Rhinolophus ferrumequinum: one gene and its partners. The protein of the gene in region 1 interacts with the protein of each later gene in a pairwise test. Links are inferred from orthologs where the notes say so. Each region holds a gene or a part of one and is shown in the gene's direction. Other genes may lie near its edges.

Region 1 (7,643 bases):
GGCATGGTGAGGGCACAGGGACACAGTGGGGACCCACCTGTGCTCACTGCCCAGTGGGCCTTGTGGCCCTTCTTCTGACACGGCTCGTGGTTGAAATCCTCATCGTAGCTGGTGCTGGGTTAAGGCCAAAGCTGTGTGTGGCCCCGGGGCCCACCCTGCTCCACCCAGGCCTGCTCCCTTCTTGCCCTGGGATACGGGACGAGCAAGGGGTGTCCAGCGACAAGGTGCTGCAGCACACGGTCTCTGTTGGGACCACCCAGGCCGCCACACAGCAGCTCTGCCTGGCATCCCAGTGCCTCCTGGGCCAGCCTCCCCATGTCGGTCACTGCAGGGACAGAGCAGACAGAGTGAGGGATCACCACCTCTAACCTTCACCATGACACCATCACCTCTTTCTGCAAATGCAGAAAATGTGGCACACAGAGGGTAAGCTGCTTGGCCAGGGTCACAGAGGAGGAGGTGGCAGAGCTGGGCTGGGAGCAGGCAGCCTGGCTCCAGAGTCTACCTGTAACACTCTGTTCTGCTGGATGGGGAGAAGGGCCTGAGGAAGGGAACAAGGTCCCCTGCTGGCAGGCGTGCACCCCGCCTCCCCAGTCCCTTCCTGGTAAAGAACGCCTGGCTTATGAGCCTTCTGCACCCATCTCACCTGAGAACATCTCTCCCTGGGCCGAGTAGCCTCTCTCCACGGCCATCTGCATGAGTCTCTCCAGGGGGATGCCGCTGAGGGGCGCCAGGAGAGTGCCTGCCATCCACAGGGCCACCAGTCCGCACCTGGGGAGACACAGGCCCAGCCCCTCAACCTCAGTCATGTCCTAACTGGGCCCCCACTGCCCTGGAAGCTGGAGTGTGGGGAACAGGTTGGCTGTCCTAGGGAGTTCCCCTCCCCTCTCCCAGCCCAGGTGGGGAGACCTGACTCTTCTTCATGGGGGAGTGAATGGCCACGGCTTAGGCCTAGGGCCAGAGGGCTACAGGTGGGGTGGAAGGCTAAGGAGAGATGTCACCTGGGCTTCCAGAAGGAGTAGGTGCCAACGTGGAGTTAGAGATGATGGACCAGGTTCATGTGTTCACTCGCTCACTGGTTCCAACTGTTTACTGCGCATGCACCCAGGGTCCAGAACTGATAAGGTCCCCCTCTTTCTCTCCTCCCCTCCCCTCCCGGTCCTCCCTGCTCTGCCTGGGATGAGATGAACCCACTCCCCACACCCTCCCAGGTCAAGCCTCATGGAGCACAGCAAAGGCAGGGGTTACTGATGCGTGGCCAGCCAAAGGGTTGGGTTCTGGCTCAGGGAACGTACTGAGGGCCTTCTTGGATGAAGGAGGGCAGGTCGGCACAGAAGAGGATCCACTGCAGGTCACTTCTGAAACTGAATCAGGGCCACACTCGGGAACCAGCTCCTAGAGTCCCCTCCGAGGCCTGGCTGGAAGTGGGTGCCAAAGGACAGCGAAGAGCAGGAACACAGGCCTGGCCACCCTGAGGCCTGAGGGCAGCTCCTGGCTGGGTCACTGCCCACTTCACCCGAGGCACTTCCCCTCCCCAGCTTCAGTTTCCTCATATGCTCAGTAGTAATGACCCTTCTACCTGCGTCTCCTCGCTCCTCTTATGTAGTTACTGAAGGGGTTAAGAGCAGACGTACAAAAGCTTTGCAACTAGAAGCCAGAATGATTTATTACAGGGAATTTCTTGAAGGCGTGTCTCTGTACTCAAACTGATTTTTCCCCTTTCAGCCTATTTCTCAAGTTGTTAAATAAGGTGAAAATCCCTTAAATCAGCCTTGAGTAAAACCAGACAACAAGCTCCAGGCCTAGAGATCACCCTGACAATTAGTCCTTTGTAGGCCTGCGCAGTCCTACCCTAGGGAAGGCCACTCTGACAGTTTTGGTGACTCCAATTCATTCCTCCCCCATCCAGGGCACAAGAGGGGAAGCGAGATGTGCCTGTTTCTATTCCAAGGATAGTGATAGTGAAAGCGCAAGGCTGGTGTAGGGGATGCCCTCCTAATGAAAGGAGCTAACAGCATAGTGTTTAAAAGAATGGAGGGCTGGCCTGGTGGCTCAGGTGGTTGGGGCACCGTGATCCTAACACCAACGTCACCAGTTCGATTCCCACATGGGCCAGTGAGCTGCGCCCTCTACAGCTAAAATTGTGAACAACAGTTCCCCTGGAGCTGGGCTGCCGTGAGCAGTGCTGCCATGAGCTGCCGCTGGCCATCATGAGCTGGCGACTGGTGACTGATTGCCTCAGCCCAGCATGGGCCAGGGAGCTATGCCCTACACAACTAGACTGAGAAACAATGGCTGAACCGCAGTGGGGGCGGGAGGTGGAAAAAAGGGGGAAAATGTTTTGTGTTTTTTTTTTTTTAAATGGAGCCCCCTTGCCATAGTTCAAACTGGGCTCTTTACTAAGCACTGAAACCAAGTGACTTCACTTCTATGAGCCTCAGTTTCCTCATCTGGAAAATGGGATAATAGTTCCTACTTCACAGAGCTGCTGAGAGGATTAAATATGTACTTAAGAACACTTAGAACAGTGCCAGGTATATGCTAAGCATACAACAACGGGTGTTCTCATTTACATTAATTTTGCCTCATTATAATTGAGGCATTTAGGGCAGATTATCAGCTTGCCTAGAAAACTGGAAGTTTCTTATGAGTCTGGGCTACTCACTTCTTTCTCTTCCCCTTAGCCAGGCAATCTTTAAACTGAGTCCCTAGAGTCCCAACCAAGTCTAGCCCCCTTACCTCCTGCCTGGGTCCCTGGGTGCTCCAGCTTCTTCCTGTACCCAGAGTCCAGTCTCACCACCTCCACTCCCACTAAGTGGCCTCCCTCCCCCACACAAAGCCCTCCCATTGCTTCCTGGTACCTTCAGGATAGTCACCTTCCTTTGCATGGCCCCCATGCCCGATCCACCCATGAAACCCCATGTTTGCTCTTTCCCAGCTTAAAAAAACATTTGCGTACAAAAAAAAAAAGCACATTATCTTCATTTCACTCTGGGTCTCTGCACAAGCTGGTTACTCTCATCACATAACCCTGATAACTTGCTCAACAGCACTCAGGGGTCCTCCTCTCCACGTAGGCCCCACTGACTCACAGCCTGGGTCAGCACTCCCTCTGACCACTCTGGGCTGTCACCATCTGGTGGAGGGAGGGATCTGTCTCTCCCACTGGTCTTGTGTTTGTGAAGGAGGATCTTTCTTCATGGCTAAAGACACACAACCACTGAAGGGTCTAAGGAGCGGGCTGAAGCAGTCAGGCTGTTTGACCTCGAAGTAGGAAACCCCAAGAGGAGATGACAGAAGCCATCTGGGGAAAGATGGTTGGGTGGCTGGGGTGGGGCACGGACACCCTACCGGTCCTTGTGCAGCTTCAGGAGCCTCTTCACGTCCTCTCTGCTCCCGGGGACTGGGCCGGCCTTCTCCAAGGCCTTTTTCAGAAGGTGGCTCTTCTCCAGGCCGAAGACATGAGGGGGAGCAGCCCCCGTGGCAAAGGATGGAGGTGGCAGTGGGGGTGGTGGGGGAATAGGGGCCTGGAGACTTGAGGGAGAGGGTGGAAAGGCTAAATTGGGGGAATGCGGAGGTGGGGGAGGAGGTGGAATGATAGGGGCCTGGGATGCAAGAGGTCTTGGAGGGACTGGGGTCTCTACTGGAGGAAAACATGGAGAAATCATTTTGGGGTCTAAGGTATGGCTGGAAGGGAGAGTGAAGGATTCTCCAAAATTGGTGGTCTCAGGGATGGAGATTCTGAAGGTTTTAGAGTGCAGTCCTGGAACTGGGGGGCTGAGCAGTGGTATTGAAGGAACCAGGGTTAAAATTTGGAACCATGGAAGCAGGGATTGGCGCTGACTTAAATCAGGAAAGATCTGAAGATTAACAGGGCGGGGCCCTTTAAACAGGACCAGAAATCAAATTTGTGTTACGCAGTTGGGTTGCAAGGCTGAAGATTTAGTAGGAATTCATTTATTATACAGGGCTAGACTTAGAAACTTGGGGGTCAATTTTGGAATATGAAGGCTCATACCTGGGGTGAGGCGCCTAAAGGGTGGGTTTTAGAGGCCCAGGGTTAAAGACTAAGTAGAATTTTAGGCTCTGTCCCTCCTCACATCCCAGGCCCGAGTTCGGAACCTTCCAGCTGACCTTTGAGTTAGAGGTCAAAAAGACATCAGGCAGATTAAATGGCCTAGTCGTGAAGGTCCTGGAATCAGAGCACAACAGGAAAAGTCTGTGGGATAAACAAGGCTCAGAGGTGGGAGGCGATAGGGAGCCGCGATACCGCTGGAATAGGAAAAAGAGTCACGGTGCACCGCGTCTCCACTTCCCGCAAAATGGCGGCCGCCGCACACGCCCTTTCCCCTATCACGTGGTAGGGCTCGCACGGGGCCCCGTCCCTTTAGCGATCACGTGACACAGAACTCGGGGCGATGGGAGAGAAGTGGGACTTCCAAAGGACTGCGTCCGGAAGAGACTGCAGCGCGAGCCACGTCCCGATTGGCTAGAGGCGCAGCCTTTACAGATTGGTCGGTAGCCCGGAGCGCCGCAGAAGGCAGGAGGCCTTGCAGGGGGTGGGCGGGGTTTTCTTGACGAGGCGGGAACCCAAGTGCCGTTTTGATTGGCAAATTTCTGGGCCGAGCTTTGATTGGTAAGATCGGGGCGAGACTTAATCTGATTGGTCAACGTAACGAGTTTACGTGCAGTGGTTGGGTCGCAGAAAGACAGGCGGAACCAGAAGAGGAAGCTTCGTGGTCGGCGCTCAGAAACGTAGCAGGCACCCCTTGCTGGAGCTGCGGCTCTGTTGGTGAGTGATTTCGGGCGCAGGTAGCCATCGGCATCGGGTGAGCGGAGCGCTTGGCGCCTGGGTGTTCCTGAGCCTTGTGTAGGGAAACTATTTTCCCGCCGCAAAGCCGCCCCTCCTTAACTGGCTTTTACATCTGGGTTCTTTATCCTGGGCCGGCTTTGAGCTCATGGGCCAATGGGAATCGCCGGTCAGGACGCTCCGTCTATTGAATCGCGTAGAGCATCCTGGGACTCGTAGTAAACCTCGAGGTTTCCCTCACCACGCGCGGGGGACACGCGGTATACTGCTTAACAAAGCGAGTGCTCTCCTCTTGCCTTCTCCCGGCCTTACCTGACCTCGTCCTGGAAGGAAGATCCGTTAAGATCTAAGCAGTCCGTTAAGTCCGCTTTGGGACAAGAGATTTGGAGAAACTCAGGGTTGAAGTTCTGTTTTTCCTTCTTTTTCAGCCCTACCTCAGCACCTTACTCCATGGCAGTTCCCGAGACCCGCCCCAACCACACTATTTATATCAATAACCTCAATGAGAAGATCAAGAAGGATGGTGAGTTCTTGAGGGAGTCCAGACTCCATGCTGTCCGTTATAAGCCGGCTATTTCTTTTCCACAGCGTTCTCCAGGGCAAAATGTTGACACATCGGCCTTTGCACGTGCTGCTTGCTCTGGCTTTAATACTCTCCCAGTTCATTTTACGCTCTACTCATTAACCTAGTCACTGTTGCTCATCCTTTAGGGTTTTAGCTCACAAGAGCCCTCCTCCTGGAAGGCTTCTCTATCTGCTACCCCCTCAGGTGCCTGCCTCTACCATCCTACGGGCCCTGGATGTCCCACCTTAACCCCTGACCACCCCCTCAAGCCTTGATTGCCTGGGCTGTCATGGGGCTCTCTCCACTGGCCTGTGAGCTCCATGAGGGCAAGAACTGGAGTTGGCTTGGTCACTGTTGTGTTTTCAGTGATCAGCCAGCAGTGAAAATGAAATAAATAATGATGACTAACAAACACTATATGAGGCGCTGATATATAAATCTTGATTACATTTAATGTTCACAACAACCCTGCAGGTAGGAGCTAATCCATTTCTCAGATTAGGGAACTGTAACTTGCCCAAGGTCACACAGCAAATATAAAAGTGGTTGAGGTCACCAGTGTGGAATTCTGCTTCACTTAATTCTTAACATCAGACATAACTTTTTTATTTTCTTCAACAAGTTACCACTTTTATTGAACCTCATTTTCTATATTTGAAAACCATAATGCCTTCTTTGCATGGATGTTACAGGGATTAAATTAGCTAAGCGTTCATGCAGTGCTTTTCATGGTACCTAGCAATTAGTAAGGGCTGGTTAAATGTTAGCTCTGATGATTACTTCAGGAACATTGTGGGGAGAACCAAAGGAGATTGATAGGATTAAATTTGAGGTTACCAGTAAAATTGCTGTTGAAAACAAAATAAACTGTGTAAGTTACCCATATGCTTTTAGAGCATGGTGCTCAGGCAATATCCTGTGGTGCTGGGGATACACTGATGACTGCAACAGTCCTGGTCCTGCTTTTATGGAGCCACAAATCCTGTGGGGATGAGAGACCTGCTAGCAGACAGTGATAGCCCAGAGTAGCTAGGGCCATGATTGGGGAAGCACAGGGCTGGGATTGGGCACTGAGAAAGAGGCTTTCATTGAGTTTCATAAAAAAGATATTTTAGAAAAGCTTTCCAGGTAGAGGAAGCAGTACAGTTGACCCTTGAAGAACGCAGGGATTAGGGGTGCCGACCATGCAGTCGAAAATCCATGTATAACCTAAGTCGGCCCTCTGCATACACAGATTACTAACTGTGGATCAAAAATAGTATTTATTTTATAAGGATGAGAGAGAAGAATGTTCCTAACCTGAACCAGCATGTACAGGTGTCTAGGGACAAAAGAGCCTAGGGCATTCTGAGAACTACAGATAGTTGTGTGTGCGCCTGTGACTCAAGGAGAAGTTTCCAGTGAGCCGTGCACTGATGGCTCATGGGATTCTGTGGGCAGGGTGAGGCGTTGGACTTCATCCTGAGGGTGTGGGAAGCCAGGCAAGGAACTCAGTTAATTGTGAAAGAGCTTCCCAGCTTTGGAGGGAGTGGGCCAGAGTCCAGGGGAATGACTGAGACCCAAACTGGATTCAAGGGGATGAAGCATGGAAACAAAACCCGGAAATATCATCAGGAGAATTTTGGCTAATTGCTTTAAAACACTTCTGCTTTCTCTCTACTCTCCCCACTCCCCCACGCATTTTCTTCCCTTTCCTATCTACTATCTTTTTCCTATTTACTATCTTTTTCATCAGGCATTTTCATCTCAGATACCTTCTTTGCATAAGATTGGTACCCTGTTCCAGCTGTCAAGTGAAGCGGTTTGCTAGTGAGGTGTGGTGATACTGGTTTCAAATGGGCTTGCGTCCCAACTCTACAGGATCTTCCCAGAATCCTTGGGATACTCCTAGGCCAGTGACAAATCCTCTGAGACCCTGTTTCCATAGTAGTAAAAAAGGGACAGTTGTAGTTGTTCCCTCATGGGGTGGTTGTGAGCATTTGGTGACTTTTCCTTAAAACGCTTGCGTAATGGTATCTATTCATGCAAATGTTTTTGGAGAAGTAAGTAGGGTATGAGGAGAGGGGAGAGTGACAGGAGGGGGCATTTCTTTAGACCGGGTGGTCAGGGCAGGCCACTTAGGTGGCAACATTTCTGCTGAGACCTGGGTGACTAAAAGGAGGCAGCCATGTACACAGGAGAAAGGTGTGCCTGGCAGAGGGAGTAGCCAGTGTGAAGGTCCTAAGGCAGAATTGGTGTGACGGGCCTGAGAGAGGGGAGGCCATTGTG
Region 2 (6,428 bases), on another chromosome or scaffold:
GAGAGAACCCTGAAGGTTTCTGTCCAGGCTGGGTCTGAGGGAGTTGGGAGCAGTCAGTCTTCATGGGCAAGGAACAAGGGGTGGGGTGCAAATGACCTGCCCTTGCCCTGCCCAATGCACAGCCAGGCCTCCCAGGTACACCTTCTGTCAGGTCCCTGCTGTGCTTCAGTGCCGAGGCCTTGCAGACCTGCATGTGCCGGAGCCTACATTTTGAAAAGAGTGAGAAGGGGGCCAGTGGCCAGAGTCCCCACGTCAACTACCCTGGCTTGGTGGCCTTCTGGCCTCACTCACTCGTAGTACTCGGGGGCAGTCAGGGTGCCGGGTGTACCAGCTACTTTCACTGAGCCACAGACCAGGTGCTTCTGTCAGGAAAATAGCAGGGGCTCAGCCAGCAGGCGACACCTTCCAGTAATAAAACCCTCAAGGAACTGAAATCTGGTGCTTGGACTCCCCCAGCCTTTTACCACCAGGCGGAGTGCCTCCCTCTCAAGCTCAGCCCCTCAGGACTCAGTCTAGCGATTTAACGTCCTCCGGGATGTGCCTCCAGACCCACCCCACCTTCTCCCAGGACTCCACCTGTTGCACGTGCCCGTTCACCAAGCCCAATGTTTCTCCAAGGTCAAGTGTCCCCGTCTGGACCTGTCAGCTGGCAGGCCCCTGGATGGGTTTTCAGGGGAGCTCTGCCATCACTAACCTGTATGAGAGGAGCCTGATCATCCAGCTTCCACCAAAGCAGGTCCAATTTTTGTTGCTGGAACTCCTCCTCACAGCTCACCACATGTACCACCATGCAGCTGTCGGCACCGGCCTGTGGGGGAGGAGGACAGTCACTGCAGGGACAGAACACCTGCTTTGCTGGAGGCCTGCCTACAGGGTGTGGTGTCAGCCACTCACCAAGCCTCAGGAACCTACCTCAGGCCAGTGCAGCAGGGCTGCCCTCAGCTCAGCCAGCACGGAGAGCAAATCGTCAGTCACTGCAGAGGGAACACACAGGCTGGGACTAGCCAGGACTGCAGGGGTCCCCGCCTTTCTGGCCCTAAATAGGCTCCAGGTCCTACCCAGACAGTTGTCCAGATTGGGGTCATAGCCAGCTGCGCGTCCCCGTTCTTCCAACAGATTCTTCAGGCACACACTGCCCAGAACGCCAGGGGGCAGGGCTCCCCTGTCATCGGCAGGGCTAAGCTCTGCCAGTGCGCGGCTCCTCAAGGATTCGGTCTCGGCTCGCTCCGAGGTAGCAGGCCAGTCCACCCACAGCTGCTGCAGGAAGGTCGACATGTGCGGATCCCGCACAGCGGGCACTAGGCGCACACTCACCCTGCGAAGCGAGGGTGGCCGCTTCAGCCCGAGCAGCTGGCCCGATTCACCCCTATTCCCACCAGGTGCAGCCAGTCCCCAAGGGCCACGCCCTTTGGTCTCGCGTCCCCGCTCACCCGTGAGCATGCAGAGCTCGCGCCAGGTGATCGGCCACGAGTATCACCCGCAGCTGGCTCAGGCGGAGCGCGCAGGGGGCGGCACGCAGCGCCGAGCAGTGGAGGAGGACGCGCGGGCCCGGCGTGGCGGGTGCGGCGGGCGCAGCATAGGCCTCCACGGCGCCGAGCACGCGCTCGAAGACAGCCGACCGCTGCAGCTGGAGCGCTAGGCCTGCGGGGGTCGGAGCGCAGCGCAGCACGGGAGCCACGCCGGGGCCCTGCAGGTCGCTCACCGCATGGAACACACGCTCGGGCACCTGCGTAAGGACAGGCGGGTGAGCGGGCCGCGGGACTCCCAGCTACCCCTGGCAGACCGTCCCCGTCCGGCCCGTGCCCACCTGTCCGTCCCCGAAGCGCGCCTCCAGCGCCCGCCGCGGCGCCAGGAAGTCGCGGGCACGTAGGTGGCGGGAGCGCGTCTCCTTGAACCACACGGGGCCGCCAGGTCCCAGGGCCGCGTTAAGGGCCCCCAGAGTCTCTTCTACCCCAAGGCGCCCCGTCGCCATGACGACCGGAAGGAGCAGGAGGAAGCGGAAGCAAAATATCGGGAGGTCGAACTTCCGGGAAGACCGACTGGCGGGGACGGAGATCCGGCCCGAGTGGGCAGGTGCACCAGGGGAAACAGTAGCGGCTGCTTTCGACAGACTGCCCCGGCGTGGCCCACCTGCCCTGCTTGGTCCCGGGTCCGAAATCTCGGAGTCCTCCGGGACCTACGGTTCTTCGTTACCAACCAGGGAAAGGATCCTCGCGACTTGGTGGGGACTCTTGCTCTTATCGAAGTCTGCGTTTCATTTCCCCATTTTACACATGAACAAAATGTTTAAAGTTCCAAACGAATTGTCACCGGAATAGGGCAGCGAACCATTAATGCCACCTTCACGAGCTACTAAAAAAAATAAATAAATCTCATTTTAAAAAGAATTTGTGTTCCGCGGTTTCAGGTTATTTGCATTTCCTACTTTAGAACATGGGTTGTCTTTATTCCCACTGATAGAATTGCCAGTTTTCTCGTCTTGATTCTTGAGGAATTAAAGCCATCATGACGGTTTCCAGAATTTCCGGCTTTTGAAAGCTTTCTCCTTTAACCTGGTGTACTTTAACAGGGACCTCCTGCTTCCTGGTTTATGCAACGAGCCATTGTGGGCCAACTAAACACTGTGACCATGAGAAGAGCCAGCTAAAGGGCAGCCCAGCTGGAGCTTCCCACTCCTCTGCCCAAGAGAAAGTTCTTTCCTGTCCCCTATGTTTTCACTTCAATGTAACTTAAATCCCCTTTTCCCTGACACAGCACAGAGTGCTGGGAAAACAGTGATCTCTGCCCTGGAGCAGTGACAGTGCCCAGAACTCAGAAGGGAGGGGACCGTAGAGGCAGGAAAAGCTTGGCAAAGCCCCTCTGTGGGCCAGGGCTTCAAGGCCCTCCTGGGAGGCGCCGAAAGAGCACTGGGCGGACACGACATTCCCGATGGCTTCTTCGGTGCCCACTCAACGGGAGTGATCGTGTCATTCCAAAGCGCTTTCTATGCCGCAGGCGTGCGCCTCGGGGACAGTTAACAGGGTTGAGCCTGGAGGCCCAGCTGGGGACTTCAGCTACTCTCCGTATACGAAGACGGTTTAGGTGGTTTTTCCCCAGGAAGTGAAGGGCTATCTTTAGCGAGCTGCGGGCTGGGGCAGCCCTGTGGGACTCACCGCCATTGCAGCCCTATATGGAGGACTTGGGTCCTCCCTCCCTCACCAGTGCTACCCCGGGTTCCGGAGATGGCCACCTCCCAGGCTCTCAGACGTCTACGCCCGTCAATTCCAGCATGAAGGCGCACCTGAGAGAGGGACGGAGACCAGAACGATCCAGTGAAGTATGTCTGGGGCTCAGGGGCTCGACCATCCCATCTGGACCAGGACGCTGCTCAGGCAGGAGAGCAGGGAACGAAATCCAAGCGCAGCTGGAATGCTCTGGAGACAACAGCTGCTTTTGGGATTCCGTTGCCCGCTGTCCAGCCGTTGGGGGGAGGGGTCCCTCGCCCTGGGGCCAGATTAGAACCCCCCTTACCCAGGCCCAGGAGGCAGACCTAGGAGTAGGCAGTGAAACCGAGGCTAGTGGGAACGAGGAGCTCACCTGGGCCCCCAAACAATAGCAGGGGCGGTGGGGACCTCCCCTGGGACCGAGTCCCGATCCGGATTAGATCTGCGGGGTAGGATTGGTCCTGCTGGTCTCATGCAGCCAGAGCCACTTGTGCGGTGACGGTGGCGGGGCGGGCTTCGGGACAGGCAAGAGAGAAGCGCGCCCGTGGGGCCGAGGAGGAAGTAAACCCGCGCGCCCGCCTTGGGGACACCCCCGCACCCGGGGCCCTTTGTCCGGTGAAGCTGCCAGCGCCCAGAGCGCTAGGGGCCCCAGTGGGCCCGTAAGGCGGCGACGGGACCCCTGGGAATCCACTGCGACCGTCCTCATCTGTGCCGAGCTGCCCGCCCGCCCCCGCGGATAGCAGACGCCGCAACGTTCCCCTGAGGCCCCGACACCGTGGGCGCGCGATGTCCGAACACCGCGCGGGCGCCAGTAGGCCCTCTGATTCGGCTCAAACCGGGGACGGGGGATTCTCGGGACGCGAGCAGAGTGAGCGAGGACAGAGCGATGCTCCAGCCGCTGTTTAGTTCAATGTCTGGTCCGGTTCGGCCCGGTCGGTCCCACCCGGACAGCTACAATTGCCCTATCACGGCGTCCCCTTCCGCTACCTCTGGCCGCAGACTGGAGCCATTTTAAGGCGAAACCAGACGGGCACGCCCCCTCTCGCTCCCGGAAAGCCAATCCACGCACGGCCACGCCCCGTGCGGCGCGCGGAGGCGACGGCAACGGTCGCGCGGGTGACGGTTGGGGAGGGGTGTGATTCAGCGGCGAGCGGGGGAAACCTGAGCAGTCCGCCCCGCCCTCGGAACCCGACGCCCCAAAGCCGGGATTAGGGGCTTGGAGACGGGCACCACGCCCTAGCCAGGTGTTCGGGACTGGGCCAGGTGCGCGGCCGCCCCGCCCGGGCCCCCAAAGCCCTGTGTAACGGCTGAGAGCCGGCAGCCAGGCCGCGGCTGGGGCCCAGGCAGTGCCCTGAGGTCGACCCCACCGCCAGGTGTCTGGCTCCCCCAGGACGGTCTGCGGGGGCCCGGGGCGGGCGGGAAGCAGATGCAGACACCGGAGCCGCGCTGGGGGACGCGCCTTTCTGGGACAGATGGCACGGGCCGGCTCCCGCGCTGGGCCGGCCGGGCTGCGCGGCGCCCTCCGCGACGCAGGGGGCGCTGTAGCCGCGCTGTGCTGGGCTCCGCTACGACCCCGCTGACACTGCGCGCGGTTTCGCCATGGTCTCCTCGTTCGTGCTTCGCGCCCTGTACCGAGCGCGACCCGCTCTCCGTTGTCCGCCAGCCGATCTGCTATGGTGAGCCCGGCTCCAGCGTCCCTGACCACCCCGTCCGCCTCGGCCGGCGGCCCCCGGCCCCGCACCTCCTGGCCTAGACCCTGACTGTACCCCTCCGCAGGGCCCCACGGCGTGGGCACCGGCTCACTCCCGCGGATGACGAGCTGTATCAGCGGACACGTATCTCTCTGTTGCAACGCGAGTCCTCGCACACTATGTACGTCGACAGCTATAGCAGCCGCGGCTTCGTGGTCAACGGAAATCGCGTGTTTGGGCCCTGCGCGCTTCTCCCGCACTCGGTGGTGCAGTGGAACGTGAGCCCTTCCCTGCAGTGAGGAATCTGAGGGCCAGAGCCCCAGGGTTGCGGGATTCTGCCCCGGGCAACTTAGCTTTATCGTGGGTCCGTTGTGGAGGTCTGTGGGGAAAGCTCTGTGGATTTGTTGTATTTAACGTGCCTCTTCCCCACACAGGTAGGGTCCCACGAGGACATCACGGAAGAAAGCTTCTCTCTCTTCTGGATGCTGGAGCCGCGAATAGGTATTGAAGAGGCTGAGGTGCTCTGAGCCCCACAGAGCCACCCCCTCCCCAGCCCATCAGCAGACCTGGTTGCAGACTAACTGCCCATCCTTTCCTAGAGATTGTTGTGGTCGGCACTGGAGACCGGACTGAGCGGCTGCAGTCCCAGGTGCTGCGAGCCATGAGGCAGCGGGGTATCGCTGTGGAAGTGCAGGACACGGTCAGTGCCGGGACTTGGGCGGGCTGAGGGGAGCCCAGACCTAGCCCTAGCCCAGCTCATGCTGGCTTTTTCTTTGCAGCCCAATGCCTGTGCCACTTTCAACTTCCTGTGTCATGAAGGCCGAGTGACAGGAGCCGCTCTCATTCCCCCACCTGGAGGGACAGTGTTCACATCTCTGGCCCAAGCTGCAGCATGAATCCCAGGAACTGACCTGACCCTGGCACCTTTTGCAGACTGCAGGGGTCCCAGTGCTTTCATTAGCCCCTCCCCGGTGGCACTGTGATGCTTGTCTTTCTTGCCAGCAAGTTAATAATTTAATGTATTTCTCCCATTTTGTACTAGGTGTGTTGCTTGCCAAGGGCTGCTGGCTCAGTAGGCTCTTGATGGGGGGGAGGTAGAGAAACCAAAGGGTCATCTTTTCATCTAGACCACATGCTCTCAGAAGCCAGGAGGTGGCACACACACCTCTTCCAAACTGCACATGTCTACTTGCTCACATGCAGATTCGGAGGTGATTGCAGTTCTTTCTCCACAAGGTCCAGCAGAGAGTCAAGTTAGAGAAGGTGCATGTGAGTCTCAACCTGGTCCCATGTGGCCAAGCTTTGGGCCAGCAGGAGGCCCTGTGGATGTCAGTCCAAAGCCCCTGGACTGTTCCCTTGACTCGTCCCTTAAGCAGCCAGTCAGAACCTGGGATGGCGCCCCGGGGAGCCAGCTCTTCAGAGCTGGCTTGTGAGCTGCCTCAGGAGGCACTTTTTGAATCTAGAACTACCCCCTTCCAGGTCCATGAGCATCCTTATCTCATGGGGGGTCGGGGGCTGAGGCTTTCCCTGGAAA
Region 3 (7,867 bases), on another chromosome or scaffold:
CCTCTGAAGTTTCATTTAGGGTCAAATGAGTAGAAACCTGACACGGTCAGTTAACATTTAACTGCTCTGCAGTGGTTTAAGCTAAATGTTAGTATTACATCTGCAGCCATCATGTTAGTGGTTTAAAAAGGCAGCACAATTAGCATTAGAATGGCTGTGAAGAACAGTGCCTTTTATTTTATGAATGCTGTGTTTGCACAATCAGATATAAATGTGCCTCACTGACTGGAATCCATGGTACTATTTTATTGATTAATTTCCTTGTATTAAAAAAGAAACTTCCTACGTCTCTTCTCTATGAATACTTTAGCTTGAAATTCAGGGCCAACCAAAATCTGGCATCTACTACTGTTGAGGAAACTCCTACCTTAAAGCCTCAGACTGTCCCACTTTCCAAGTTTTTGTCAGTGCCCTCCCTGAGCACTTGTATGGTTTCTTCCAGCCTGAGATCAAACCCACCTCCGGGGCAGTTCTGCTTAGGCTTCCAGGCCTGGAGTGGCAGTGCTCATTTCCATTCCTACAGCATTTTGTCTTTCTCATTTACTTTTTTTTTCATGGACGGTGTAGGTGCCTGAGCACTGCAGTATACACCTGAAGCTAAAGCTGAATAATAATATCATTTACTTTTATTAGTTAACTTGTCATATGTGTGTGATATTAACCCTCAGCTTAGCTCCTAAGTGCCCCAGGGTTCATTGAAGACAGGTATTCAAATATTTATTGATTAAGATATTCACACTTAAAATGTGTCCTTTTCAACCTTTGAAATGATAAGCCATCTCACAATTTAAAAGGAGACTCAAAAAATCTATTAAGACAATAAACAAAGATTGACTTTACAAAGATACTGGGAATGTCCCATTTCCTCCTAGGAAAATTTAAGGATTTAAGATTTTTAGAAAGAACATTTGGGACAAAAAGCCATCAAAGACTGATTCTTAAATCCAAGGAATATTTGCATTCCTGCAAGAACTCCATGGTGATGAAGAAAAAAAAGTGTGGAATACTATAATTCTCTATTTAAATGTCAAGAATAGCAATAAGCAAATAGAAAATCAAATTTAGAACAGAAAATATTATTCCCACTCATGGTTAATTACTGATGTTTGATATGGAACCATTTTAGTGTCAACATATTAAATGACATAATTTTTCACAACGACAAAAAACCATTATAAGGATCTTTCCAACTGGAAGCTTACCCATACATATATTCTGAGTATGTTGTAACTTGTCAATGTCGTATTACGATATGTTTGTAATAATGTGATTGAAGAGTCCACATTAATTTTTAGATTTTTAAGCATCTTGAAGGCAAGTGATTTTTGTATTCTCACTGCACTTATTATATGTTGGGTAGTGAGTGGTGTACTATAGACCTCAAATGCCGGAGGCAGGAGTGTGACGGAGAGAAGGACGGGAACTGTGGATAGTGGCCTTGTGTGCAATGAGGCACCTGGCTCTTCACGCCCGTCTCAAACCTCTGCTGTACTGATTACAAGAAATAATGTAGATAAGGGTTTTGCATAGTTCCTGGAACATAACAGTACTTAATACCTTTTTTGAACATATTTTTAAAGAGTGCAAACATATACCACATGCTGTTCTAGGTGTTGGGAATTCCAAATAGAACAAAATTGAGTCCTTGCTCTTGTGGAGCTTACCGTGTAGGGGTCGGTGACAGACAAACCTACCCATAGACAGAATGTGTCAGGTGGAAATAAATGCTATTTAAAGAATTAAAAGGGGAGTAAGCAGTCTGTGTGTGCGCGCGCACGCTGTGGTAAGGGAAGCCTTCTCCCATCAAGAACTGAGAAAGGGTGGGAGTCAGGCTTGCAGGTGTGTGGGGAAAACTGCAAGGAGAGGAAACACCCAGTGCGCAGCCCAACAAACTCAGGAAGAGGATTTTACTTCCCCTTTTTCTTAAAGAGATCCAGATAGAAAAACCTACTACAGGAAGGGACCTTGGCATAATCACCTTGAGCATTTTCACCCTAGAATTAGTCAGGAATACTCCAAGCATGTTTACTAGCCACCCACTGTGTCCAATGCTTTGCCTGTTTAAGGATGGGGGAGGGGAGGGAATTTTAGGGTCTAGGGGAAGAGGGGTGGACATAAGGTCAGCGAAGCAGCAGGGGGTCAGAGCACATGGACTCTTGGTAAGCAGGCCTTGGTAAGAACTTCGGGTTTTTTATTGGAGAGGGGAAACCATTGAAGAACTGTGAGCAGAGAGGTGAAGTGACCCATGTGAATTTGAAAAGCTAATACAGAGTAACTACTATTGCCAAATGCTGTAACCATAGGGATTTACTACCAAAGAGTGCCTGTCTTGGTTCTTTAACTCTGATCTGGTTCACCTCCTATAAGTAAGTACGTGGTGAAGTCATATGATATTCCAGTTTCTATGGGTCAAAAATGGTCAAACACTGTCAAAAGGTTCAGTGTGACTTATTGGGGTGCAAAGAACATGGGCTTTGAGTAAAATATAAGTGGATTTGAATCCCAGACCTAGGACTCATGAGCTACAGTCCTGCGCCAGTTACTTAACCTCCTTCTCCTTGGTTTCCCCTTATATAAAATGGGGATAACAGCATGACCGACGCCACAAGGTTGAAGTGAAGATTAAATAATACACATGTAAAGCACTTAGCACAGGACCTAGGAGTTTAATATGGAGGTGAACCAATTAAGAAGGGGGACTGAATCTTTTACACTAGCAGATCAAATAAATAATTTACTACCCAAACCCTTTCAAACCACTTATCATTTTGCTAGGTATTGAAGAAGCACACCTTACTTCAGTTTTAAAAGAGACAACAGCTTTTTGATGAAATCACTATTTCTTGCATTTTTATAACTCATCCTTTAAATAATTAGTATGTGAATATTCTATGGCGCTATTAACTGCAATGGATGTCAGGTAACTTATTTGAGAGTTAAACGTTAACTTTGTCCACCAAGGCAATTGCATTTCCTCTATCAAAGTAGCTTAATTTTAAAAACTCACTGTGTTCTTCAAATGAACAGGCCAGAAGTTACTTGCCAAAGAGAATTTATTTGAAATTTACTTAGTAGCTTCAGTGCAACTCAATCTTAAAAGTTCCTAAGAATTTGCTTGAAGCAAAATTTTACCCCAACCCCCCCCCCCCCCCCCCCCACTTAGGTTCCCAGTTAAAACACAGTACACACGATTATCAGAAAATTTCAGGTACAGGTAACTCTCACAATGGTCAGTTTGATAGCAAATAGTTGTATCTAAATTATTAATTGAACGTCACAAAATGCAGATTTAGTGACTGATAACATTGCAGAAACCAAAGAGAACTACTACATTGTTGTAGTTCAGAAAATTCTTTCCTAAACTAACCTAAATATTTGAAATCCATCATACTGCAGGGAAAAGCCTCTTGACCACTGCATGGTAATTTTTGCAAGTTTGCAAATAGAATGTTGACTTCCGCTTTTCAAATTGGCTATATGCTCTGTGTTTCATTTCTTTACTGTGGCTGCATTTTATTACTGGATACCGCTGCCATCACGAAGCAGAACATTGCAAACGCCATTCTCGATGCTCAGAATTTCCAACGCCGCGGAGCTCATTCCTGACCATAGCTGGCTCTCGGAATAACGGAATGCGGCAGCAAAGCACACCATGTCCCCACAGACGCGCCCACCGCTCGGACAGGTCACTGCACGGGCAGCAGTAACGCCGTCGGGGCAACGAGGGACGCCTACGCTAGACCGGCCGCTCCTCAGACTCCGTCCGCCGCGCGGCTCTCAAAACCGGAGAAGACCGCGGGGACACTAGGAGTCGTCGTGCGGTCCTCTCAGCCACACCGCGGCAGTCGGAGCCCACCGCGAACAAGTCCCGCGGAGGCGGACCCGGAGCCGCACAAACATTATAGCCGGGGCCTGGGAGCAAAGACCTCCTCGGCTTCCCGTCCCCGTCCCGGCCGTTCGGGGTCCGACGGGCCCCGCACCCCTCGCTGTGGTCCCCACACCAGGGCCAGCAGACCCGGGCCCGCACACCCCTCCCCCTTACCCCCTGGGGGCGCGCCCCCTCCCCACGCAGGCGCGCGGCAGGCCCCTCCCATCCTCCCCCTCGCTCACGGAGCCGGGCGGGGGCGGGGCGACCCTCGGAAGGGGCGTGGCCGCAGGCCTCGACACGCGCACGCGCCCTTGCACCTTACGGCTACGTGTCGGGACACGTGACGCCCACCCCGAAAGTCCCCCTTGAAGCAACAGGACGTTAAAAAAAATAAATAAATAAAAGAAATTTGGGGGGTTGAGGGAGGTGGAGGAGAGGAGGAATGAGAGCTTTTTAGAAAACTATAGTAACGGGAGGAGAGGATGAGGTCGGGCAGCGGCGAGCGCAGCCCTGGCGCGTCCTGCTGGGAATCCCTCTCACCTAACGCCACAGCCCGCCAGCGCCCGCCAGACGAGCCGGCCAGGCGGCAGGGAGCGCGAGGCGGCGCGGCACTCGCCCCCGCCCCAGTCGAAAGCACCGCCACCCGGCGCCCTCCTCAGGACGTCGGTCCCTCCGCCCTACACCGGCCCCTCCCGCCGCTCTCATCCGCCCGCGGCGGCGACCCCGGCCCGGCGCCCAGGCCGGGCTCGCAGTGCGCCGCCTCATTCCCGTCGCCCACCCCGCGGGGGGGGACGCGGCGCGGCGGCGGCCCCTGGGCCGGGGGATGCGTGCGGCGGCGGGAGGAGGAGCGTGCCGGCCGCCCCGCTAACGGCCGCCCTGCGCGGCCCCGCCCGCCGCCCGCCGCCCGCCCCCGGCCCTCCCTGCGCCGCCGCCCCTCCCCCCGCTGCCGCCGCCGCCGCCGCCGCTGGCAGCGCCGACTGAACTGAGGCGAACTCCGCGGCCAAGTGAGTGAGGAGGAGGAGGCGGCAAAGAGGAGGAGGAAGAGGAGGAGCGGAGTCAGAGCGCGGCTGCAGCGGCAACGGTAGAGGCGGCCGCGGCGGGGACCAGCCCGGAGAGACCCCGAGCCCGCGGCACAGGCGGCGGCTGAGCGGGCGCGACCAGCAGAGCGAGCGGCGGCGGCCCGGCTCTTCCTCGTCCGGCCCCGAGCGGCCCGCGGAGACCCGCCTCCCGCCCGCCGGCCTCGTGAGGGACGCGCCGAGCCGGCGGCCGAGAAGCGGCGGCGGGCCGGGAGCGCGTCGGGCCGCGGCGGAAAGTGCCTGCGGGGGCGGGGAGAGCGCGGCGAGCGCGCGGTCCGGCCGCCCCAGCGCCCGGCGCGGGAGCGAAGCGGAGCGGGACGCCGAGTCCCGAGCGGCCGGCGGCCGGGGCTCCCCGCCCCTCCCTCCTCTCCGGCGGCGGCGGGCGGAGTGAGCTGCGGAGCCTGGAATATGGTCGGGGAAATGGAAACGAAGGAGAAGCCGAAGCCCACCCCAGATTACCTGATGCAGCTGATGAACGACAAGAAGCTCATGAGCAGCCTGCCCAACTTCTGCGGGATCTTCAACCACCTCGAGCGGCTGCTGGACGAAGGTGAGTCGCCTCCCGGCCCCTCGCGGCCCGCGCCCGGGCGGCGGCCCCTCTTCCCGGGACCCGACGCGCTCCTGCCAGCGTGTGGGGAGGGCGGGAAGGTCGTGGCCAGAGGGGACCGTGCGCCCGGGGACCGTGAGGCCCGGGCGGGGCGCACGGAGGCGGCGCCGAGGCCCGGGGCGCGGCGGGCGGGCGGGGGTCGGCGGCGCGGGCGGGACCCACCGGCGGGACGCCCCCCAGCCCCCGGGCCCCGCGCCGCCCGAGGGCTGCGCTGAGGAGGCTGCACGGCGAGCCTCCCGCGCCCCCGGCTGCCAGCCGCGCCTGGGAGCACCGCGACGGCCCGGAGCTCCGCGGGCCTCCCGGGGAGGAGCCCGGCCCCGCGCCCCGCGGGCGCCTGAAGGACACCGGCCTCGGGGCCGCTCGGGGTGGGGGTCTCCTAACACGGAGATTCCAGTGGGGCTTTTGCTGATTTGGAGTTTGTGTAGCTTGTAAATACTCGGGGGGAGCCGCGTGGGGCTCGTTAACTTAAAGGAATTCCATAGGAGACCGAAAGTAATGCTGATTTAGCCGAAGGCGAGGACAAAATGACAGCGGAAAGCACTTTTTGTCCTTTTGTTTGGGGAAGCGAGAGAACTGTTCGGGAGTTTAACTTCACTGGGGTGGGGGGGGGGGTGTTGAATACGAAATACCGCGAGGACAAACGCTGAACGGAATCCCGAGTTTCAAAGAACTTCGGCGGAGAGCTGCTCCCGAGGACGCCGCTGCCTTGGTTTGTAGGACAGGAAATCAAGGCACTTGAAAGGGCGAAAATAAAAATTAGTGAAAGTTTGCAAAAAAAGAGAAAGCTTTATCCGTGTAGGGCCGCGGGGAGTGAAGAATGACAAGATCAATTTTGGCCAACTCGAGAATTTCTTTACAAGTTCTTGCAGCCCTGACCTGGAATATTAATCTCTATCTAGTAGCTGTGAATTTTTTGGACTAGAGAAAAAAATATGACCAACAAAAACGTCTATTTTGAAAGTCGAGTACCAAAGAGTTTCTTTTTATGTCTAGAAGCATCACCGAAGGACTGTTTAAAGAAAACTGAAAACTTTAATAGTGATGAACAATGGATTTTAGATTTTTCACAAGAATTTCGTGATTTTTACAGTATAGAACTGGGGAAAAGGAATCAAGCTTAGAGATTTGGCATGTCACTAAAGAACAAAAGACCGGAAATGTTTCCGTGATAAAAGATGGTTAAAGAGGAATCCCAGGAGCTTTCCGTTGTCTTGAAAATCATAGAAACAATTTTTAAAGTACAAAACAGATATTACTGAGTCCTCGTCTTTGCTTACATAGGTTAAACAAGCAGCAGCAACCGCTATTGAAATGGTCTTTTCCCCCACTGTTGAAACAGCAAATCTCTTAATTTCAAATTGCTCCAGAGAAAACTTGAGCTGTCCCTTTAAGGGGTTCTGCTTTTCCTATTTGTGTTGGCATTTGAAAGATTGTGGAGGCAGAAAACTTTCTGGAATGTCAAAAAAAAAAAAAAAAAAAAAAAAAAGGCTGGAACTCTTAAATCGAGTATTTCCAAATGTGAGCGCTAAGGGGCGCCAGTTATTTTTTTTAAAACGAGAAATGTTTGGAGCAAACTGTAATGTCAATAATCTGACCTATATTAAATTTAGTTGAAATTTAAATCATAGTAGATTATTTCATCTGTCATTTTGTAATCATATATGTAGTTACAAACATTGAAAACACTTTAAAATTATTGGGACAATTTTATCACATTTCAAAAATAATACGCTATTTTTTAGTTGGCATATTTTGGTGAAGTTACAGTTGTCTCAGTGTTAGTGAAAATTTCTGTTAAGATTTTTTTTTCCCCTTAAGTACAGTTGTTTAGCAGGAATTCTTTATAGTCGTTAAAATGAAAATAGGCCATGATGATATTTAAGATTAAATTGCATTCTTTTAATTTTAAAATGTTAAATTCAATCAAATGGCATAAGGGATTATTTTTAAAAGTTTGGAAATATTTTCACCTCATGCGTACTATTTTTAAAAGTAAATTGAGTTCTAAAAGGCTCTTCGCTTTTGCTTTTATGTTGATCTTAAAACCTCTAAATGATAATTCGGAGTTGGTTCTCTGTTAGAAAGTTTCTGACCTCAATAATTTTTCTGGCTTCAATAATTTTAATCTTCCAAATCTAGAATTCCAATTATGTCATTATCTCTAACAAATGTTCATTTCTCTCTGGTTGGAAATAGTAACCACTTGAGTTTTAAATGTTAGAGGCTACTAGTTGAGGGTGATACATTCTAAATAATATGTATATTTTTTCTTTTTAATGTGGTTTACTCTATTAGTGTTATGTTAGTCTATCTTGA
Region 4 (7,356 bases), on another chromosome or scaffold:
CTCTTTCCTTCTGTGTTTTGCAAAAATCCCCATCCTGGCTCTCTGGTATGACTGCACTGAGGTGAGTAGCAGGGGAACACGCCTGACGAATGACTTCCACCTTGCTCCGTATTCCTGATCACAAATCTCCAACAGGCATTTGACGGCCAGACAATCCACCCTTGGGAGTGTTGATGTCACATCTTATCCTTCCTCAAAGCCCTTCTGCCCCATTCGCTTCTTGCTCCCTGCTGAGATCTGTGCCTCATCTGTGCCTCAGTGAGAAAGAAAGCCGCTGGCTGCCAATACCCTCATCGCCACCCCCCCCGCCCCCCGGAAATACTCCATACCCCTGGCCTTGCCTTTGAGTCCCTGGCCCTGGCGTAGTCCAAGTCCTGGGTCTGTGTGCTGGATGGAGCTCATGCCCACCTGAGGACCATCCTCTGCCAGCATCCCGGCTCCCTCCTGCAACATTACCTATCCCTCCCTATTGGAGCATTTGTGTTAGCAAAAAAATCATGCTCTAGCATCTCTTTTCTCAAAAAAGCCTTCCAGGGGGCAGCCGGTTAGCTCAGTTGGTTAGAGCGCGGTGCTCTTAACAAGGTTGCTGGTTCGATCCCCACATGGGGCACTGTGAGCTGTGCCCTCCACAACTAGATTGAAACAACTACTTGACTTGGAGCTGATGGGTCCTGGAAAAACACACTTAAAATCAATTTAAAAAGTTAAAAAAAAAAAAAAAAAAAGCCTTCCATAACTCTTCTCCCATATCCCTCCAGTGATGGCCCCATTTCTTAGCCCCTATCATGGCGGGCCCCAATCCCTGTCTCCACCTCCTCAGCTCACCCACTCCAGGCAGGCTTTTGCCCCCACTTCTAGGGTGGTCTCTCTAAAACTGATGCGCCTACTGGAGCCGACAACCTCTTCCTGCCCAAGTCCTTTGTCCTCTGGAGCTTAGGAGCCCACACCCTCTGGCTTTTCTCTCACTTCAGTGGTGGTTCCTGCATTGCTGGACCCTAAATGATGATGTGACCTCAGGTTGTTTCTGGGCCTCTCTGTTCTCTCACATTCTCCTCCACTCACAGCTTTAAATACCACCTTTGGGACAATGACTTCCAAATCAATGCCAAAGGCCACTATCCTGCTGTGTCCACTTGATGTCCAGTGGAAACCTTGGATTCACCATGGTCAAAACAGAATTCCTGATTTGTCCCTTCTAAACCTGCTTCTCTCCTAGTCTCCCCCATCCCTGATGCTCAGGAGCCAATTGAGAGACGTACTTAATCCATTTTTTTCCTTCACCCATCGCAACCAAGCAGTCATATTGCTATACTTCCAAAATACATCCCAAACTTAACCATGTCTCCCCCAACATTCTGCCCCACACCCGAGTTCCAGCTGTCATCATCTCTTGCCTAGTCACTGCCCTAGGCTCCTTGCTGCCATCCTCGACTTACAATTCAAACCCCACATGGCAGCCACAGGGAACTTCTTGAAAAATTAATTTGGCCATGACAGTGCCCTGCTTAAAATGAACAGCTTCCCATTACACTTGGAATCAAAGCCAAACTGCTCCCAGTGGCCTATAAGGTCCCACAACTCTCTGACGTCTCCCTCCCTTTGCTCATTGCTAAGTTCTGGTCACTGTGGCTTCCTTTCCGCTCCACAAACATTCCTCACTTGTTCCCCTCTGGGTATGTGGAAGAAGGAATGAAACTAGACAGAGGATGTAGAACGGGCAGCACATTGTCGCTGATGGTAGGTGTTCACAGGAAAGGCCTGAACGGGCCTTTGCTTGAATAGGGAGCTGAGCCCTGTTCCACTCACCATGGCGAAGAGGTTGTCATAGCCTTTGACCTTGGTGGGCACCTTGGAGAACTTCTGGTCAAATGCATCCGAGATGTTGTGGGCTGGGTCAGTGGAGATGATCAGAACACTTTCCCGCCCCTTGGATAGCTGGACTGCCAGGCTGCAGCTGGGCAAGGGAAAGGTCAAAAGGCAAGGAGTGAGGGGTTAGGCTCTGCTCCCTAGGTCTGCATGGAAAGATGTGGGGCCCAGAAGCTGGCCGGGCCTCGAGAATATGGCTAATTGTGGAATTAAGTCTCAATCTTTGCAGAAGTACCCTCTCAGACCTCACCTACTGACCCCTTCAGCTGGCTAGCATGGTGAGGTTCAGTATGGCTTGATGCTTGCTTCTTCACTACTCTCTCCTGGCACAGAGAGTCATGGTCCAGCTGTCCAGCCAGCATAGTTAAGGAGTCCCTTGTATCTCCTCAATTCTAAGCTAAGGGGTCCCCTGCACTTCCTGCTAAACTGAGGATGGTTCAAACCAATTGTCCAGGATAATTTGCCCCAGGGACCCCACCCTCTCCTCCCAGTTGACTGGGACAATCTGATCATGTGCCCTTGCCTTCTATCTCCACGTGGGCATAGAATGGCAAGGTTCACTCAGACTAGAATAGTTTGCCCCCGTGTGTCCCTCCCTATACTTTGAGCTCACTCTGGTCCACAGCTGACTGGGACAGTTAAGTGCTCTCCTGGCCCCCGAGCGTTGGGTTCAGTGTGGTCCCGCCCTTGAACCACAACGGGGATGATTTCCCAGAGGGTGCCAGGCCCGCATTCAGGAGGTCTCTTCCATTTGCTCCAGGTAACTTCTGGAGAGTGCAACCCGGAAGACCCCGGCCCAACCCCCGTGCTCAGCTCGGGGTCGAAGAGCGATCCCTAGCCTCCCCTTCGCCCAGATGGGTGGGATGGGAAGATCCCACCCATCTTCCCGGCCCACGCTGCAGCCTCTTTACCTGCAGGTGGTCTTGCCAACACCACCCTTGCCCCCGACGAAGATCCACTTAAGGCTGCGCTGCTCGATGATGTTGCTAAGCGTGGGCTCCAGCGGCTCCACATCAGGGGCATCCTCGAACTCCTCTGCCTCAACCCCCCAACCGGCTACCCCTGCCGCCATCTTGGAACCGGCTCACGTGATCGAGCGGAGCGCACCACGCAAAGTACCAACAGGGGAAATTCTCTGTTATATCCCCATCAGGGCTAGCAACCCGAGTTAATTTCCCCATGGCATTACTTTTAGGAGCTGACAGAAGCTATATTTCCAAAGTCCTCCTCTTCCAGGGTTCACCTTGTCGATCTCTCGTCTATGTTTTCTCAGAGACTCCCCCTGCCTAATTAACATATTGGTACGTTCCAGAATACTCCCCTTCACTGATTGGACCCTAAGTCTCGCAGCGTTCTTTTCATTGGCTACATCTTTTATTACTTTCACCAATCACTCTCAGGTCCTGGTAGCCGCCAATCTCTCCTTAGCAACCAGCCAAACACCCGGTCCATGCCCTGAAGTTAGACCCCAGGTCCGCCCTGGCCTGACTCCATAGGCTCAACTTCTTGTCGATCTTTTCCCCCCTATTCTCCAAACTGAATCACAACATCCTCTCAGGCCCTTCGCCTCTTATCCAATTGGCTGTGATCCATCTGGCTCCTGACGCTAACCAACCATAGATGAATTGATTAGTTGGCTGAAAACCTGTCTCGGGGCTGAGTGGGCTACAGGGAGAACGACTCCGGTTGGACGAAATTTGCAGATCCTTGTCCAGTGCGCACTGAACCCCTATGCTGGGCAGACCAGGGCAAGGACCAGACCTGCAACCGCGCTTCTTGTCTTCGAAGGGACCCTATTCCCGAAAACTTCTTAGTACTTTTATCTTTGTGGAAGGGAAGACTCCAGCGAATTCCCTGTTTGAACCTCTGCACTGGGCAGGAATACAAGATGGGTCTCTCATGCGGTTGGCGGACACTCTTAACTATAAACTGGGTTACCCCAGCTTGGAAATACCTTCTCCTGAGAAGCTTCTTCTGAATATTCTAGCTCATAAAATAATACCCTGATTCTCAGATGGGGACCCCAGCTCCACGGAGCTAGCTAGGTGTCCGCATTTCCAAACGAGAGCTTCATCCCAGAGACAGGTACCTAACCCAGACACCTCCATTTCTAGTCCGGGGGGGGTCCAGGCTAGATACCCTCTATAGACTTAGTTAGGGACCTAGATTCCAACGTGTCAGTTGAGTACACATCCTTAGAGGAGATACCTCTCCTCACTGAGATTATTCCTGGTGCTAGAAGGAGGTTCTAGCCCCGTAAAGCTAATGCACCTCCAGTCCCGTGAGGGCTACAGCCCCAGAGGACGGTCCCACTCCGGGGGAGACCCTGCACGCATAACGCCTGCCCAAATCTAGAGGGTTATAAAGGTCCGCGGGGCGGGGCCCTCCGGTCCGCCAGTCAGGTTTTACCCCTCATTCGTCCCGCCCCTCAGGCCCCGCCCCCACCGCGGCGCTTGGGGGTCAGAGTGTTCTTCCCGGCATGCATTGCTCGGGATCGGCAAGTCCGGCGGCAAGCGCGGGGCCGAGGCGGCCTTCCCGGAGTCCTTTGCGCGGCACTTGGCGACAAAATGGCTGCCCGAGGGAGACGGGCGGAGCCTCCGGGCCGGGAGGCACCGGGCCCCGCGGCGGGCGGCGGCGGCGGGAGCCGATGGGCTGAGTCGGGGCCCGGGACATCGCCCGAGAGCGGGGATGAAGAAATGTCGAGCCCGGTGTCGGGCGGCGTGAACTTGTTCGCCAACGACGGCAGCTTCCTCGAGCTGTTCAAGCGGAAGATGGAGGAGGAGCAGCGGCAGCGGCAGGAGGAGCCGCCCCCGGGCCCGCCGCGACCCGACCAGCAGGCCACCGCCGCCGCCGCGGGTCCCGGGGATCCGAAGAGGAAGGGCGGCCCGGGCCCCACGCTCAGCTTCGTAAGGAGCCGCGGGGGTGGGGGCGGGCGCCGGGGCCTGCCATGGCAGGGGGAATCGGCCCGAGAAAAGGGATCGGGATTCAGGTCCACCCTCCGACCCCGATGAAGGGGCCATCCGGGTCACTCGTTGAGGATGCGGAACCTGGATTTCCGATGCGCGAGTTTTGGGGGTGGACGTGGAGAGCCCCGGAGCTTGCTCGCGAGAACCGGGAGCCGAGGCTGGGGAAACCAGGATTCCTATTTAGTGGTACTCGAACTTTGGGTACTGGGACCATTTCCCAGTATTCGGAAGGGGAGCAGATTCAAATCTGGAGTCGAAGATGTGTGGAATAGAGACTCAGACCGCTTACTGTGTGACTTAGGAAATTTTCTTGACTTCCTGAGTCCCCTTCGGTTAGTGTCCATTTATTGAGCACCTTACCTTGTGCTGGGCATTGTGCTTAGGTGCTGGATATACCCTGGTGAACATGACAGACAAGATCTCTGCTTTCCTGAGCATCTGGGCCTATCTTCATATTTTCTGTTTGGAAAAATGGACATTGTCTCATCTTCTGATGTGATGAGGGTTCAGTGAGGCCATCCTGGAAAAGTTGTTAGTTAGCATGGGGCCTGGCTTATAGGAAGGGCTAAACCAGTGGTTCTCATTTGGGGATGATCCCCCCATTTAGCAAAGTTTGGAGGCAGTTTTGGTTGTCAGAACTGGGGGAGTGGGGTGTTATTGTCATCTGAGTAGAGACCAGGGATGTTGCTCCACATTCTACAATGCACAGGACAGCCCTCGCTGTCCCCCACCCCATTCCCCAGCAAAGAAGGATCCATCTCAAAATGTCATTACTGCAAGATTGAGAAACTTGAAACAAATGGCACCTTTATTGATGGTCTACTCTGAGCTTGCTTTGTCTCGTATTGAGATCAAGTCCCTGTGGTGTGAAGAAAAAAGTGTTGACTCGAGAATAATGGAGTGGGGGTCAAGTTTCATCATCCACCAAAAATGGGTGAGACTAGTCCCAGCAGGGCAGGTCACTTACTGCCAGGTTGAGGGGAGGAGATGATGCCTGTGAAGACTGTTGCAGCCCTCAGTCAATGGGAGAAGATGGAGGCCCAAGATGAAAGTCCAGACTGAGACTTCTGTTTGAGGAAAGGGAAATGTCAGTACCTGGGTTGGGATGGTGTAAGAAATGTGTAGAGGCCAAGTACCTCTCCTTGAGTGGGAGTAGCAGTAGTTGTCACAGCCTTGTTCATTGAGGGGCTGTTGTTGGAGCACCCTATAGAAGCCAGGCCAGGCCAAGTTAGGTGCAGGGGATATAGCGTTGCTTAGTCGTTACGGATGCTGCTCTGTGGCTTGGACCCACCTGACCCTGAACCAGCTCCATTGTTTGCTGCCAGGATGACCAAGGGTAGGGGCCTCACCTTCTCGAAGATGTTTCCTCATCTATAAAATGAGGATGGTTATAACCTATCTTAGGGTAACTGTGAATGTGAAAGGAGATGATACATTCAAAGCATTTGGCACAGGGCTTAGCATACCGTAAGTGCTCAGTAAAGGGAGATGTTGCTGCCTGCATGGTCACTGCCAGGGGAGGGGGAGGATTTAGCATGGAGAGTGAGGACAGAGTCCATCCCCACGGATGTGGGGGTTCTTCTCACTCCGTGGGAAGGCAGCCCCGGGGGCCCAGGATTGCCTGGGCATCATGGGCCCAGGACAGGCGCTGAGTCGCGTGTGCTCCTCTCTGATTGCTGCGCAGGTCGGCCGGCTGGCGGAGCTGGGCGCGGCGTCGGGACGGGCCACCGGGCCGGGCTAGGAAGGTGTAGTGGGCCTCAGCGCCGCCAAGGGCGGGCCCGGCTCCTGTAACCGTTGCAGTCTTCTGTCCCTTCACCCAGGTGGGCAAGCGCAGAGGCGGGAACAAACTAGCCCTCAAGACGGGAATAGTAGCCAAGAAGCAGAAGACGGAGGATGAGGTGAGCAGGTTGGGTGCGGGGGGGCTGCCCAAGTGGCCTTTCCTTTCCAGCCTCAGCACCTGGCTAATGAGCCCTGTCCCTCCCTGTCTAGCCTCCGGGCCTTGGATGTGGGTACTGGGTGGGGGAGGAGGGCTTTCAACGGCTCCAGATCACTTGACTCTGAATATCTTGACCTCAAACCTAGGACCTCTGGGATGACACTGGGGGTGGGTCAGCTGTCTCAGGACAGTCCTGATCCCAGTTCTGGCCTCCCGGGCATCCCCTTCCCAACCTCCTGTGCCCCCCCACCCCACAGGTATTAACAAGTAAAGGTGATGCATGGGCAAAGTACATGGCAGAGGTGAAAAAGTACAAAGCCCACCAGTGCGGCGACGATGATAAAACTCGGCCCCTGGTGAAATGACTCCCTTCCCCCACCTGCCCACGGCCTGGGACTCTGCGATGTACATAACTATTTAATGCGGCGGCAGCGGTGGCAGCGGCGGCAGCCTTTCCCCCCAAGGACTTACACACAGAAGGAACCCGAGATGCTTCCCGCAGCCGCCGGCGATCCTCCAGGACTCTTTTTTACCTTGAGCACTTGCCTCCTGAGACTTCATAGAACAGTGGTTTACTGTCCTCTCTCC

The links.
Region 2: the proteins of SNRPA (region 1) and NDUFAF3 interact in binary tests that used the Homo sapiens proteins (3 or more experiments, as listed by UniProt). The two-hybrid records come from large-scale screens. The link is inferred for Rhinolophus ferrumequinum from reciprocal best matches to the Homo sapiens genes SNRPA and NDUFAF3.
Region 3: the proteins of SNRPA (region 1) and QKI interact in binary tests that used the Homo sapiens proteins (3 or more experiments, as listed by UniProt). The link is inferred for Rhinolophus ferrumequinum from reciprocal best matches to the Homo sapiens genes SNRPA and QKI.
Region 4: the proteins of SNRPA (region 1) and TRIR interact in binary tests that used the Homo sapiens proteins (3 or more experiments, as listed by UniProt). The link is inferred for Rhinolophus ferrumequinum from reciprocal best matches to the Homo sapiens genes SNRPA and TRIR.

Annotation. Positions count from the first base shown.
Region 1 is NC_046298.1:39,328,470-39,336,112, forward strand, and holds the start of SNRPA (U1 small nuclear ribonucleoprotein A), read left to right. Parts: upstream 1-4,636; 5' UTR 4,637-4,792; intron 4,793-5,238; 5' UTR 5,239-5,260; coding exon 5,261-5,333; intron 5,334-7,643. Other genes in the region: ACTMAP (UPF0692 protein C19orf54 homolog), read right to left, coding at 38-108, 196-325, 647-771, 1,296-1,364, 3,352-3,668. UniProt on the Homo sapiens protein: Component of the spliceosomal U1 snRNP, which is essential for recognition of the pre-mRNA 5' splice-site and the subsequent assembly of the spliceosome. U1 snRNP is the first snRNP to interact with pre-mRNA.
Region 2 is NC_046300.1:7,226,964-7,233,391, reverse strand, and holds NDUFAF3 (NADH dehydrogenase [ubiquinone] 1 alpha subcomplex assembly factor 3), read left to right. Parts: upstream 1-4,347; 5' UTR 4,348-4,802; coding exon 4,803-4,879; intron 4,880-4,979; coding exon 4,980-5,172; intron 5,173-5,328; coding exon 5,329-5,395; intron 5,396-5,493; coding exon 5,494-5,594; intron 5,595-5,673; coding exon 5,674-5,790; 3' UTR 5,791-5,925; downstream 5,926-6,428. Other genes in the region: DALRD3 (DALR anticodon-binding domain-containing protein 3), read right to left, coding at 1-34, 142-203, 292-362, 695-808, 913-974, 1,059-1,315, 1,431-1,726, 1,808-1,972. UniProt on the Homo sapiens protein: Essential factor for the assembly of mitochondrial NADH:ubiquinone oxidoreductase complex (complex I).
Region 3 is NC_046286.1:103,614,446-103,622,312, forward strand, and holds the start of QKI (KH domain-containing RNA-binding protein QKI), read left to right. Parts: upstream 1-4,851; 5' UTR 4,852-5,352; coding exon 5,353-5,494; exon of another isoform or gene 5,495-5,542; intron 5,543-7,867. UniProt on the Homo sapiens protein: RNA reader protein, which recognizes and binds specific RNAs, thereby regulating RNA metabolic processes, such as pre-mRNA splicing, circular RNA (circRNA) formation, mRNA export, mRNA stability and/or translation.
Region 4 is NC_046301.1:48,815,028-48,822,383, forward strand, and holds the start of TRIR (telomerase RNA component interacting RNase), read left to right. Parts: upstream 1-4,351; 5' UTR 4,352-4,433; coding exon 4,434-4,772; intron 4,773-6,652; coding exon 6,653-6,730; intron 6,731-7,025; coding exon 7,026-7,133; 3' UTR 7,134-7,356. Other genes in the region: ATPase GET3, read right to left, coding at 1,807-1,954, 2,778-2,938. UniProt on the Homo sapiens protein: Exoribonuclease that is part of the telomerase RNA 3' end processing complex and which has the ability to cleave all four unpaired RNA nucleotides from the 5' end or 3' end with higher efficiency for purine bases.